2 linked regions of the Arabidopsis thaliana genome follow. The protein of the gene in region 2 interacts with the protein of the main gene of each other region in a biochemical or structural test. Each region holds a gene or a part of one and is shown on either strand. Other genes may lie near its edges.

Evidence for each region. Proteins that work in one complex are often made in the same cells at the same time.
Region 1: the proteins of RABH1c (region 2) and GC5 form a complex in vitro, tested with the Arabidopsis thaliana proteins (one study listed by BioGRID).

Annotation. Positions count from the first base shown.
Region 1 is NC_003070.9:30,027,260-30,035,789, forward strand, and holds GC5 (golgin Putative 5), read right to left. Parts: upstream 6,643-8,530; 5' UTR 6,455-6,642; intron 6,332-6,454; 5' UTR 6,250-6,331; coding exon 6,102-6,249; intron 5,643-6,101; coding exon 4,699-5,642; intron 4,620-4,698; coding exon 4,548-4,619; intron 4,420-4,547; coding exon 4,345-4,419; intron 4,260-4,344; coding exon 4,145-4,259; intron 4,000-4,144; coding exon 3,938-3,999; intron 3,860-3,937; coding exon 3,812-3,859; intron 3,604-3,811; coding exon 3,319-3,603; intron 3,224-3,318; coding exon 3,104-3,223; intron 3,029-3,103; coding exon 2,945-3,028; intron 2,843-2,944; coding exon 2,777-2,842; intron 2,690-2,776; coding exon 2,591-2,689; intron 2,509-2,590; coding exon 2,290-2,508; intron 2,061-2,289; coding exon 1,946-2,060; intron 1,870-1,945; coding exon 1,649-1,869; intron 1,361-1,648; coding exon 1,301-1,360; intron 1,215-1,300; coding exon 1,101-1,214; intron 1,013-1,100; coding exon 938-1,012; coding exon of another isoform or gene 887-937; and 6 more. UniProt on the Arabidopsis thaliana protein: Golgi matrix protein playing a role in tethering of vesicles to Golgi membranes and in maintaining the overall structure of the Golgi apparatus.
Region 2 is NC_003075.7:18,503,720-18,508,639, reverse strand, and holds RABH1c (RAB GTPase homolog H1C), read right to left. Parts: upstream 2,722-4,920; 5' UTR 2,529-2,721; coding exon 2,412-2,528; intron 2,063-2,411; coding exon 1,992-2,062; intron 1,907-1,991; coding exon 1,818-1,906; intron 1,738-1,817; coding exon 1,623-1,737; intron 1,530-1,622; coding exon 1,439-1,529; intron 1,343-1,438; coding exon 1,181-1,342; 3' UTR 937-1,180; downstream 1-936. Other genes in the region: AT4G39900 (adenine deaminase), read left to right, coding at 1-71; AT4G39880 (Ribosomal protein L23/L15e family protein), read right to left, coding at 3,503-4,039; AT4G39870 (TLD-domain containing nucleolar protein), read right to left, coding at 4,365-4,451, 4,568-4,652, 4,770-4,857. UniProt on the Arabidopsis thaliana protein: Protein transport. Regulator of membrane traffic from the Golgi apparatus towards the endoplasmic reticulum (ER).

The sequences.
Region 1 (8,530 bases), on a different chromosome or scaffold from region 2:
AAAGAGAACAAGGATGATGATAGTACCAACCTGGAGAGGAAATATGATAACGTCGAGAGGAATCGTCGAATAGAAGAAACTTTTACAGAGGAGCGACGACAACTTTATGGCTACACCTACACTCACTCCGTTCACAGGGGATGGGTTTTAATCACCTGCTCTCGCCTCTACCGTTCTTTTCATGGAACTCAGCAAACTATACTCTAGTACCAATGAAATAATGACATTTATATATGAATTCAGTAATGCTGTATGTACAAGAGTACAAGACTTTTGATGAAAGGATCCCTCCCCTGCTTTATGACTATTGATTGATGCTGAAACCAGCCTACAACTATTCATTACAGGAGAAGCCATTGCAGAGCTATTTTGGGCCTTTGGGCTTTTATTAACATTTACAAGAGGGCCGGAGGCCTTTTTGTTCTTTATTTTCTTTATCTATCATTTCTGTGATTTTGATATCTCATTCGGGTCCATTCGAGTCACACAGTTTTCCTATATGGATGGATTGCTACATCAACGAATCCCATTATTAATGGGTCTCTCCACCGTTTTTCTACTACACAGACAATACATGTTACATACGTAGATAAGTCACACAGACAAAAGTTTATTCTCGTCTCCAAAATAATAATTTACGATCGAATTCACTGTAAGAAAAATCTTCTTTCGAGCAGCAAAAGTTTGTTTTAAAAAGCCTCAAGTTCAACCAACACCTGAGAGACAAAACGACAAATGAATATAGTGGGCTTAGGTTGGTAGCTTATAGAGCTATACAATATTGGGGAAACAAGGATTAGGTGGTCCTACTCGTGAGCCTGAGCTTGCCAACACCATCTTCCCTTGCCCCTCATTGGATCTGCAAACCCAAAATTGCACAAACCCATTAGCCTGAGTTTGTCAACACTTTGACTCCACTTGTGTCTGTTTGCCTTACCTTGTTCACCAGCATGTTCACTTGCTCCCTGTACATCTCCTTCAAGTCCACTATATCCGCTCGAAGTTCCTCCAACTACCACCCAAACCCACTTTTTTATTAACTCAATGCCAACTACTGTTGTTAATGCTGGATACACTACTATTTTATTCACATATCTTACCTCCTCATCTCGTTCACCCATCAATTCCAGAGCAGCCGCGTGTCTTTGCCTTAGTGCTTCCAGCTCTGCCTTTATGCCCGGGACCCTATCTGCCTCCCCCCGTAGCTTCTCACACTACATCCACAGTTACCAGATATAGACGAAATATCATCATAACACTGAGCATAATATCAACTCTAAACTCTCAGCGCTATACATACCTCTGCTGTCATTTTGACTAGTTCTTCAGCCAGGGAATCTCGGATAGACTCCATTGATGCCTGTCCAAAGGCAAATAGACTCTTACAGTTAGATTCTACAGATAACGATGATACTAACAACCAGCCTATACTACCTCGACGAGTAGAGCTAAACCTTCTAAACCAGCTTATAAAAGAAGGCTAACCACGGTGTGCAACTAACCAATAATTTCTCAACATGATCCAAACACCCATAGTGTCCCATTGTAAGGACTGATGTCAACCTCAATCCCATTACTAAGCCAATTGCCAAAAGCCTACCAACAGAGTTACACAAAAATGTCCCAGTTGGATATTTTCTACACCTACCAAGCGGGTCATGTATGAAGCAAGTTCACCCTCTTTCTGTCGAAGTGTGGCTTCATAAGCACTCGGTGTGATGCTCTTCATGTAGTACGGACTCATAGTTGCCTCAGGCATGCTTCGCTTCTCAGAAAATTTATCTGAAGAATCAAGAGAAGCTTGCAGAAAATAGCTCTCCTCCATGCTTCCAAGGCTGCTTGCGCTTGATAGCTTTCTAGGCAAGCTTCCTGATGCAATAGTTAATGAATTACAGATGTGCAATGCCTGACTTATTAAGCAGTAGTATAGATCTAGATGCATCACCATTCTCAAAGGCAGAATTTTGCCTTGCTATAGGAAGCTGTTCAGAGACTGCCGAGGAATTGATACGGGCCGTTCTTTCAAGATCCAAACGTGAAGCCTTCTCCCTCTCTAGGTCCTGAAAAAAATAGGCCATATTGAGAAACTACTTGGACAATAAAGAAGAGTAATAAACTGGAACAGTTCGGTTGTTAATAGAAGCTACTCAGGATGAAAAAGTTTGGGAAAGCACTACTTTGATTGAATTCGCTAGGTACTTCAGTCCTTTAAATTCCGTAACTGATGGGGCATTTTTCATGGGACTAACTCTTATTAGATTAAGTTATGTCCATAAAGCAATGTAGAACCTTTTGAATAAGCTCGTTGTGGAGTAGCACTTCCTGCAACTCTTGCTTATGTTTTCTCCGAAGTTCCCTTATCTCAACTTCAAGTTGGTTTGCTCGACCTTCTAGGGTATCTGCTTCCTCCTTAGCTGCCAGATACTCCTGTCTATTTTCTGCTGCTCTCTGCCTCTCTTTCTCAAGTGACTTGCTTAACTGGCCCTGTTCTGCTCTGAGACATGAAAGCTGGATAGGAGAACTGGGTAAGCTAAAATTTAGAGAAAGCTGCGAAAATTGATGAAGAACAGTGTCAAAAAGCATAGAAAACCTGGGCCTCTAGAACATTGATCCTTGATAATGTTTGAGAGAGGCGTTCATTCACAGAGCGCTCTCGTTCTTCAGCTGTTGCAGCTTTACTTTCTGCTTCCTGAATATTTCTAGAAAGTGAACAAAAAGATAGAGAAAACAAAAATAATTGGCTGAATATAGCATAGAGCAGTGTTGTTCATAACACCTGCAATCGAGAATTCAGAGTTCTTTCTACAGCAGCCCAAGCTTCTGCTGTTCTATATGAAGTTTCCTATCGCCAATCAGATAAGAGGCATGCAATGTTACAATTTAATTTAAGATTCTAATCTCAGGAGAAGTTCTTTCAGAAAAAACATATGGGTCAATTTTTTACCTGCATAGCCTCAATCTGTCTTAGGAGAGGCCTTGTAGACTCAGGAACCTGTGTGATTAATTCCTCACACCTTCGCTCACTAGCCTATAAGAGTGGTTGGTTTAGCAAACAGTAAACAGAACAAACTATTAGTAACTAGAATTATGGTTCAAACGTAACCAAAAGGCGATAACCAAAGAAAGAAATATGCATAGAGACAACGAAACATCTTGATTTGACCTGATAGCGTCTTTGAAGGTCCTCAATTTCTCCACGGAACATGTCTTCCCTATACACTGCCTGTAAAAATTAGAGCCCACCGACTAGGTGAGTATAAATAAAATGATGAGATCCCAGTAGTACTCTATCCCAAATTTGATCGAGGAAGACAAAACCTGTTGCTCCTTTTTGCTTAAGGTTTGCCTCAATTCTTCCAGCGCCTGGACTAGCATAGATTCCCGCTCTCCAGCCTCCTTTAGACGATTCTCTAACTCTGACCTCGCTTCATTGTTGGTACGCTCCTCAGCTAACGCTTGAGCTTCCTTTGCTGCAGCTAATGCGTTTGAGTAATAGTCTTTCTGAGAAGTAAGTTCAGCTTGATGTTTTTCTATGGTCTCTTGCAGCAGCTTTTCTGTAGCTGTCTTGTCCCTTTTAATGCTTTCGACCTTATTTTCTTCCGACTGGCAATTGAAAGGAAAAATTAATGAAGCTAAGAAGCTTAACAAACTTTGCAAATGCTTTAGTTATTTAGATATTAATCCTGCCTACAAGAAGACTGATTTTCAAACCAGCCTTTCACAAAAGCTTCTGGGAAATCAAGAAAACCCCTTCAGGCAGTTTCATCCTTAATGACGTGGTTAATGAAACAAAAAAAAAAAAATCAATTACCTGAAGCTTTGTGATCAGTCCTTTCTTTTCTTCTTCTGCCTCTCTAATCTAACCCTCGTACAAATAAGAATTGCCATGAGACTGTTGGTATTGATAAAAATGAAACACATAGCGTTGAATATATACCTGAGCCCTTAGCTTCCTGATCTGAGCTTCTTGAGCAGCCTGTTTCTTTGAAAGCTCTTCGCCTGAAATGATTAGCATTAATATCAAGAGCTCAAGCTGAGCAAGAAATGACGTCCTTTCATTTTTCAGGTGTTCGCTTTCAACACCATTTTTTTATAACGAGAAAAATACGATCCATAATTCAAGCATTCCAAAAGGCTGTCTTACCTTCAGCCATAACTTGATTTATTATTTCATCCTTTTCTTTCAAAAGGGCCGCAGCATCACTTTTCTTGTTCTGTTCTCTTCTAAGTGTATCCCGCTCTTTGGTGAGAGCATAAACCTACAAAGATAAGCACTGTGAAGGCATATATATATATAATGAAAAGAAGAGAATTGAAAGAGAAGAATGATAAAAGATATAATACCTTCCTCTCAAGAGTTGCAACTCTCTGATGGTATTCTTCTCGCAAAGACTCGACTTCAGCTTCGTTAGATTTCCTCTGTTCCAGAGCAGAGGTTATTAGAATGTAGATTCAAAATCATTCCAAATGAAAGGAAGATGGGCGGAAGACTGGGGAAAAAAGTAATCCTTCATCTAATATCCCATATTCCGCATACTCTATTGTACCTTCAAATCCTCAGTGACAGATTTTAGCTGCTCATTTTCATGCATCAACTTCGCAATCTCATCAGCCTTTGCCTGTAAACAAATCCCCAGAAAATTGGTATAGAAGCACCATATCCGTAGCAAAACCTTTCATGAGGATCTAAAGATGTACCTGAGCTTGCCTTGCAGCACCTTGCAGGGCATTTTCCAACATTTTTATTTCCTTTTTGGTCTTCTCTAATTCCAGAATAACATCAGCAGAGTCGGAAACATTTGTCGCAGAGCTTGAACGCTGGCTTTCATTTAACTCACTAGTATCCAGTCTTGAATCTATTTCACGAGAAACAAAATCCACAATTCTCTCCGAAATTTCATCTGACGACGATCTCTTTGGTATAGAAGACTCGTAAGGAGAACCATCAGACTCAAAAATTAAAGACGGATGAGCAACAGGGGACTCTATCCTATTTACATGATTGATATCTGGTGAAACTTCAAAATTTTTAGACGAGGTTCTCCCTTCCAGATTTTCACCCAGAATTTCTTGTTCATTTGTTGTCTCATCCATATAAGTAATCTTATGCTGTCCATCTAACACAGGGGAGTGAACAGTGTCTTTGTTTTCTACAGTAACCTCTTTTGCTTCAGAATCCTCAGGCTGTGATTCCTCAGCCTCTGACTTGGGTTGCTCGGGCTGTGAATCTTGAGAAGCTGTCATTTCCAGCTTTTCATTAGGTTGAAGACTAGTCTTGTAACCTGAGGATTCAGGAGTCTGAAGAGAATATTCAGAGGACTCTTCGAGAAGTATCTGCGATTGCGGTTCATCATCTTTGGGATCCAAAACAACAGTTTCTGTTACCTCAGGATTATCTGCTTGATCAGCTTCTCTTCTCACGTTTGTTTCTTTATTTGCTTCAACAGATACTGCTTGTTCAGTAGCTAGCTTAACCGATCCAGCTTCTTCTTCTTTTTGTTCAATTTGAGACGGATTTTCTGTACGCACAGAGTCTTCCAATGTATCAGGTTTCTCATCAGAGGTGTTACCCATGAAGGACATAACGGGATCAAAGAGGCTTTTGGTATCAACTGCAGGTGGCCACATACTTGAAGCTGCATCTAAAAAGAAAGAACAAAAGGATTTTTGTTGTGAAAGGTACAAGAAACTCAAGACAAACTAGAGAAGAAAATGATTTGTGCTACAGTTAGGTAAACACAGAATACCCCTGAAATCATAGCCAGAAAAAGCTGTCACCAAGTAAACGCAAAGATCCAAAACAAAGTGTTTTTTTCAAATTCAGAATAAAATGCAATGGGTAGAATCTGAAGCACACTAGCTAAGCTAGTTCTAAGAAAAATAAGACAGAATCCCATAACTTGCAAGATTGTATTATTGCAACAGCAGATTATTGATCTAAACATCCTACATAAAGAAGAAGAAGAAAAATGGCAGGTCCTATCAACAAATGCGCCTTGAGTAATCAAATCCTATATTCCCAGCTGACTAACAGCAGATTATTGGGAAGGATGATAATATTATGTGTATTGATTGGAAAAAAAGTGAGAAGAAGAGAACACCTTCAGCGGCAGAATCGGACTTGTCGTCGAAGCCAAGGGCGTTGTCGAAATTCTTTTCAATGTTTTTAACGCTCTCCTGGAATTTATTGACAGCGCCAGTGAGATCTGGGAATCCTCCCAGAGAAACTTTGCCACTGAACCAAGCCATCTCTACTTGAGAGATATATCTGGAAACTCGATCGACTTAAATCTCAGAAATCACCGGACCAGATCCATCTCCAGCCCTGTGGCTTCCAAGGAAAACAATCAACCAATCGAGTTTAGATCCCAATTACATCACTGAATCAATTATTAAGACGAGGCGATTGGATAAAGCAGAATAGAGCTATCTATTGGGATCATCAATGGCTTACGAGAAGGAGATGCGTCGTCCTTGCCGTCGTGATCGAATTCCGGAGGAGAGAGACCCACCCCTATGTGTTTTATGTTTTTTTAGATCCAACAAAATCCAAATCCTTTTTTTTCCCTCGGCCACCGGCGGTACAAACGGCGTCGTTTCGCGGATTAGAAAAACGTTCTGTCTTGATATCATTTACTTCATTCTAAGCGGCTTTGGTCTGAATTTTTTATATACAAGGCCTGTCTCCGTTTTTGTAAAGGGAAAACAGTAGGATCCATTTTAGCCTCTGTAAGTAACAATATTGGGCCCCTAAAAGCCCACCCATTTTGGGGCCAGCAAACCAAGGCACCCTCGGTTCCGCACGCTCGCTAAGACGCTAACCTATGCATATGTTGATATGTTTTTTCTCTTCCTTTTGGTATGAATCTTGATTTGTTTTGATACTCATGATGTACATTCGTATTCTCTTACGTATTGTAAACCATCCTATTTCAGATCACGATTATATCTTTACATTTACATTTTTCATTTTTATTTCTGTTTGAATGTTACAATTTACTAGTAGAGTTATTCATTAAAATACTACAACTGGTATACAGAAATGTAATTTGAGTGATAAATTATATGAAATAATTAAGTAATATATGTGATATTTATGGATCCAAACAAAAACTAATTACTGGTTCATTTTCTATTTTAGATGTAAGCAAAATGTGTAAGATTCAAGGTATATATATATCCCAATATACGTATATATGTGGTACTCACTAGCTAGTAGCTCTCTCACAACTGTGTCTTTTGGTTTTCATCAGCTGATCCTCTCCAACTAACTATCCATCTTTTGTTTTGCGGTTGGACTTGGAGGTACCAAGAATATTAGCAACGTACGACTCGTATGGTATCATTTCCTTTGTACAAAAAGTGAATATCAAAATGCATTGTATTAATTATATATAAGTTAGTATATGGAGTTAGTTGTCCTCACTGTCTTTATCTGGCGCAATCTCCTATGCCATCATTCCCTCTTCACACGTACGTGTGCACACTCGATGTCACATTTGTATAAACACGTTTGCTTTTAGCGTGAGATCATCACCATATTCCATTTTTGGTGGGTCAGTTCTCTTTCTAGATAGTTATTTGTAAGGACGTGAATTAAAAGGGATCGTCGTCACTTGTTGAGATAAAAGAAAAGATATATGGTCAGTTTCTGCATCTTGGAATCAACTTAAGGGTTGTCTTAATTAATTTTGATAGACCCTACTTTAAAAATTAATTAGTTGCTTTCATTGGCCCTCAATAAGAAAAGCCAAAAAAGAAAGAAGACTGGTCTTGGAAGTTTGCCAACACGGGTAATAGATTAATGGTGAAAAGGGCGAATTTTTTTACCCAAAACCCTAATTAAGTAGAAGTATTAATCGAGAGCAAAAAAGAGAGAGAGAGTCAGTAGCCAAAAGGAATGAATGGAAGAAAGAAAAAGGAATCTCTATAGGCAGCATATATTCAAGTAATTAATTAAAGTAGATAGATAGAGCAAAAGGAGAGGTTAGGAGGCATTAATTAATTATTTAAGAGCATGTGGTGAATGTAAATGTTTATGGTTGCTTCCCTCTCTATACATTATGTATCTACCTTTCCTAACTAACAATTCCCTAGGCCGTACGACGACTAACAAAGAAAAAAACAAAAGAAACTGATAAAGCTTTTGAATTGTAGATAAATCATCTGCTACAGTTATACCATTATATATCTTATTAAAGACCTAAGTTTCCTTCACTATACGTCTTCGTCCATTTACGTACGTATTATACGGACGGTTTAAGCTACTATATCTATATTGTTAACAATGTAACTGTTGAGATATATCTTGCAATAATATGTCATGGTGTATGCATACGATAATATGAATCAATGTTTGAAATCTTGACGTGCCCGTGATACAATAAGATGATCAAAATTTCAAATTTTGTCAAATATTAAAACAACATACACATACACATGTGTCCAGGTGGCATTATAAAATGTATATATGGTGGATATAGAGAGAGAGGGAGATGCGTATAGTGAATAGGAAAGTAAGTAATAAAGA
Region 2 (4,920 bases):
TATTGATCTACCTGACACTGAGAGTGAAGCAAAACGGAGACAACAACAACAACAGCTTCAATCACATGTAAACTGTAGCATCTCTTTTGGCCTTTTCTCTCCTTCGTTGTCTCGCTGTTTAGAATCTCTTCCCCAAACTTGTCTTTTGTTCCAAGTTTCAAAATGTTGATAAAATAACACTTGCTCTTGCAAATGCCTAATTAACGTGTAACCAAACAAGAGGTTAAAAAAGTAGAATCAAGAGTGCTTAGCATCGTGATTATCGTTACTATTCTCTTTAGTATACAAATATATACAAAGATAATACGAATCTTCAAAAGTATTTAACAAGTATTATATGTTAATGTCTGAGATGAGTAAGCACAAACTAATTCACTAATCAACTTGTTGTGTTACAAGTTTCATTGAGTTGATAACACTAACGAATGTTTGAAGGCTCAATAAAAAAGTAAAACAAGAGAAGAACAAATAAAGGATAACGTTTTTCGTTTTCCAAGAAGAGAAGAAACAACAAAACCTTCCCGCCGATAATCGTAGTGGCCAAAACAAACGCCAATGGAAGCCTTGTTAAGGAAGACAAGGTTTACGGAGTGAAATGGTTTGAAGGAAGTGTTTATTACTCTCCCAGTGATGGTAAATGGGGAAGAACGAATAGGCCACATCTTTTGAGTTATTGTGTAGTTGAGGAATTGTTGTTATACGGTACCGATATGAGCTTCCGGTGAGTGTTTTGGCAAGAGTCTGAGGAATCAGAATGGAAGATAGTTAAAGGTTTGGAGGCTCTAAGAATATCAGTCAAGTGAACAGTTTTGGTGTGAACATTGTTCTCTTCTGGCTTGAGCGTAATGATGATGATGAGAGATTGGATGTTTGGTGTGCCGAGATTTCGTTCGAAAGGTGAGATTTGGGGTACAATTGAGTGGAAGGAAGCTGTCACCACAGTTGATCCTTCTCCCTTTGGTTCATTTGGTGGTGATCAGAATAAGGTTTTGTATTCTGCTACCGTCAATGTCTAAAACAGATCAAATACAGAACAAGGCAAAAGATTCACATGTGTAAAAATAGTAATCCTTTTCTCTTTGATGTTTTATATTCTGTGTCAGTTAATAAGATGAAAACCACAAAACTAACGTGATCCCTTTTGTTTGCTTCACAAGTTTTGGAATTATGTATTTTTGAATCAACAAGAACAGCCTCCACCACCACCTGCTCCTCCTTGTTGCTCACCTTGTGATGAATTTGAAGTGGTCTTTAGATTCACATCAACCATGTCATCTGATTTTGTTGCCAATGAATATGAGTCTACCCCGGGTAAAGCTGCAGCAATCTTCCGGAACAAAGCCTGCAAATTGAAGAGATTTGGTGTGTTTAGAAATCAGACAACAAGAAACACTCAAATGAACATCACTCCATACTCTTTGTTGAAGTTTTGTCATACCTTAATGTTGAAGTTTTCTTTGGCACTGGTCTCAATGAACATCACTCCATACTCTTTACCCTTGTCTTCTCCTTCACTGATTGATACTTGCCTGTTTTTCATTATATCAAGATTGACATATATAAGACAAGAGAGAATTATATAGTCCATCCCATCCAATTCTTTGCTTAATGTTTGTATTTACCGTTTTTCAACAAGATCAGTTTTGTTTCCAACAAGAACGATGATAACATTGCTTTGACCTCTTTCTCTGTGAACATCCTCAATCCATTTCGAGGTATTCAGAAACGTTTGCCTATCTGCAACACAAAGTATTGATTGAACACATAAGAACACAAAAAAGAAGGTGAATCAAAGAGAGAAACAAAGGTGGACTTACTGGATACATCGTATACAACAATGGCAACAGAAGAATCTCTGATGTAACTTGGGATTAGACTCCTGAATCTTTCTTGTCCAGCAGTATCCCTTTCAATCAAAACTTGTTTTGTTATTGCTTTTGAAATTAACATGTTAGTTTTTAGGTAAAGAGCAAAAGTAACATTGTTCTCACCATAGCTGCAAACGAACTGTTCGATCTTCGAGGTACATTGTTTTCGATAGAAAATCGATTCCAATGGTAGGCTGCAGAGAGTCAGAGAGAACACAAATAAAGGCTTAATGACTAACTAAGAAAGCAAAGAAGCAACAGTGCTTAGCATCATCGATCTTGATCATAATAAGAAGAAGAGATTGATAAATCAACCAAAAAAACAGAGAGCAGAGTGATCAAACAAATGCATTGAAGAAAAACCAGAGTGATATCAGCGACGTAATCTAGGACCAATATGAGATGAAATCGTCTGAACAATCGTAATATAGGAAATAATGAATCAGATCAAACAATAAAAAAACGAAAACAAAAGAAACTTGTTGTCGCAGAGAAGAATTTAAATGAATAAACAAAACAAGTGAAAGGAATCTGTGTAAATACCTGGTACGTGGTGTCGAATTTGTCATACATGAAACGAGTGATGATGCTGGTTTTTCCGACAGATTGGTCTCCTAAGAACACCAGTTTAAACTTTGCCAAAGGTGAAACCGAAGCCATATGTTCCGTTCCGTTGGAAGAAGAAGGAAAAAAAGAAAAAGTGTGATTCAAAGATCAGAAGAATCAGAGTCTCGTCTTTCTTAGGTCTCGACGATGAAGAAGAAGGAGAGCACGACGACGATGACTCGGTCGCACACAAACTTGACAACCTTCACAAAATCGCCACGCGCCCAAATATATTCAACGATTTCCGCGGAGACTTTATATAAGAAGCGCGTCGATGCGGTTGGGTGTATCTGTGTTTAAAAAAAATAATATTTTTTAATGATGAATGTTTTCTAAAATTTCTATGATCAAAGTCTTCTTCATTAATCTTTTAAATCGTTATTTGATTAATTAAAACCTAAACCAAAAAAAGACCTTTAAGCCAAACAAATTTTTGTTAGTTTGTGAAGATACTAGGTGAGTAGTAGCCTAGTTGTAATCTGTAATGAATACCAAAATCTGAACTAACAATTATTTTAACAATTATTTAGTAAACACCAAGCTACTAGTCCACAAAGTGATGAGATTTTTGGGATGATCAGAGATGACTATATTTATTGGCTAATGTAGTGATTTGTCACAATTTTATCATACGTTTTGCATCTGCGTAATGTGATCGAACATTTGAACATAAGCCCCAAATCCACAAACAATAAGACTAATAAGAGGTTTCTCAAAACTTGAACAGACAAACAAAGCACCATCACCAGAGTTAATCCCCTTAAGCATTCTTATAGATTGCAATTAAGAAAAAAAGCTTTAGAACTCGGGAGCAGCAAATATCATATAGCTAATCAGAGATCACTAAGAGAAAGATTACAAACAATTGGAAACATCTTGATTCAGATTTATTAGCCAAATCTCAGAAACACTGAGAGCTTCAATGATTCAGATTCTCAATACACAAACCTCAAGTAATAGAAACAACAAAATCAATAATCCGATAGCTAAAGAAACACAAACCCCAGATCATAATCTGCTCATAAACCCTACTTACCAACAAATCTCATGTTGCTCCATGGAAACTTGGCCGTCCCCGCCGCCGCAGCACCACCTCTCGTCGGAGAGTTAGCCCTTTCACCACCTCGACGACCTTTACCTTTACCATAACCACCAATCTCCCTCTTCTCCTTACGATCAAGCCAATGACTCTTCTTATCATCTTCTTCCTCAACAAAGCTAGATCCTTTCACTTTACTCTTCCTATCTTCCTCGATATACTTCACCGGAAACAAATCCCTAGAAATCGACAATGGACTACGTAGCGTGACGTAAGCCTTCTTGTAATCAGCTTTCGCTATCAACAAACCACCACGCTTCTTCTTCTTCCCATCCATGTTTAAAGTATTCACCTTCTCCACATCGAATCCGTAGAGCGACTCCAGGACTCGCTTGATCTCGATCTTGGACGCGGAAGGAATCGTTTTCAACGCGAATTCGTGAATGTTGGTCAGCTTCGCAGGCATCAGAAGCTTAATCGGAAGATTCGCGAAATGAACCACTCGTCCTCCCAATCTACTCCCCATTTTCAAATCGGAGCTGAGCTTTTAGGTCAGAAATGAAAAGCAGTAGCAAGGGTTTTTCTTCTTTGATTCTTCCCCACTAAAATTAATCCCTCTTCACACACACATATGCTTTAATGGGCCTTAATGGGCCGAATGAGCCTAATAGGTGGTTTTATTTTGTTATTTCAAAATCATCATTACAAGTGAGAGAGAGTAACATATATGTGATTTTAGCCAAGTTACAAGACAACAAGATTTCTTTTACTACAGATTTATACAACAACAACAACAACAACAACAAAAAGACGAATCTCAGTTGAATTCATTTGGGTTTTCTTTATAATGATCATGACCATCTGCAAAGACCAGGCTCCATTGTTTTGCTGTGAGCTAGAATCTCATCATACTTTGAGCCATACACAAATCCCCATAGCTGCAACAATCAATCAACCAATGGTGTGTTTGTTTGCTTGTTTCAGTTAAAAGGTGTTGCAAAATATTGAAATATAAAGCTTTTATTTTTCAAGGAGAGGGATGAAATTTAACTACCTCCACTTCCTTAACATCAAAGTCCTGAGAGTCTGCGAGACAAGAGTTCCCATACGTCTCTGAGTAAGCGCTCGATCCGCTTAGCCTATAAGAACACAATGGATCAATCGATTTGAGGAAAAATGCCTTGTTGTCTGTCGCAATCTTGCAATATAATAAAAATGCAAATATGATTTTAAGAGATTTGGTAAGGAAATCTTACAGCTCACTGTCTAGATAGAGAGCAAACCGTCCACCACCGCCCAGAGCTAGGAATTCCTTGGAGCATAAAGTGTAGAACCGATTTGCGCCTGATCCATAATTACAGGTGAATAATGAAACAACTCCCAACAAGTTCTATGTATCCAAGTAAT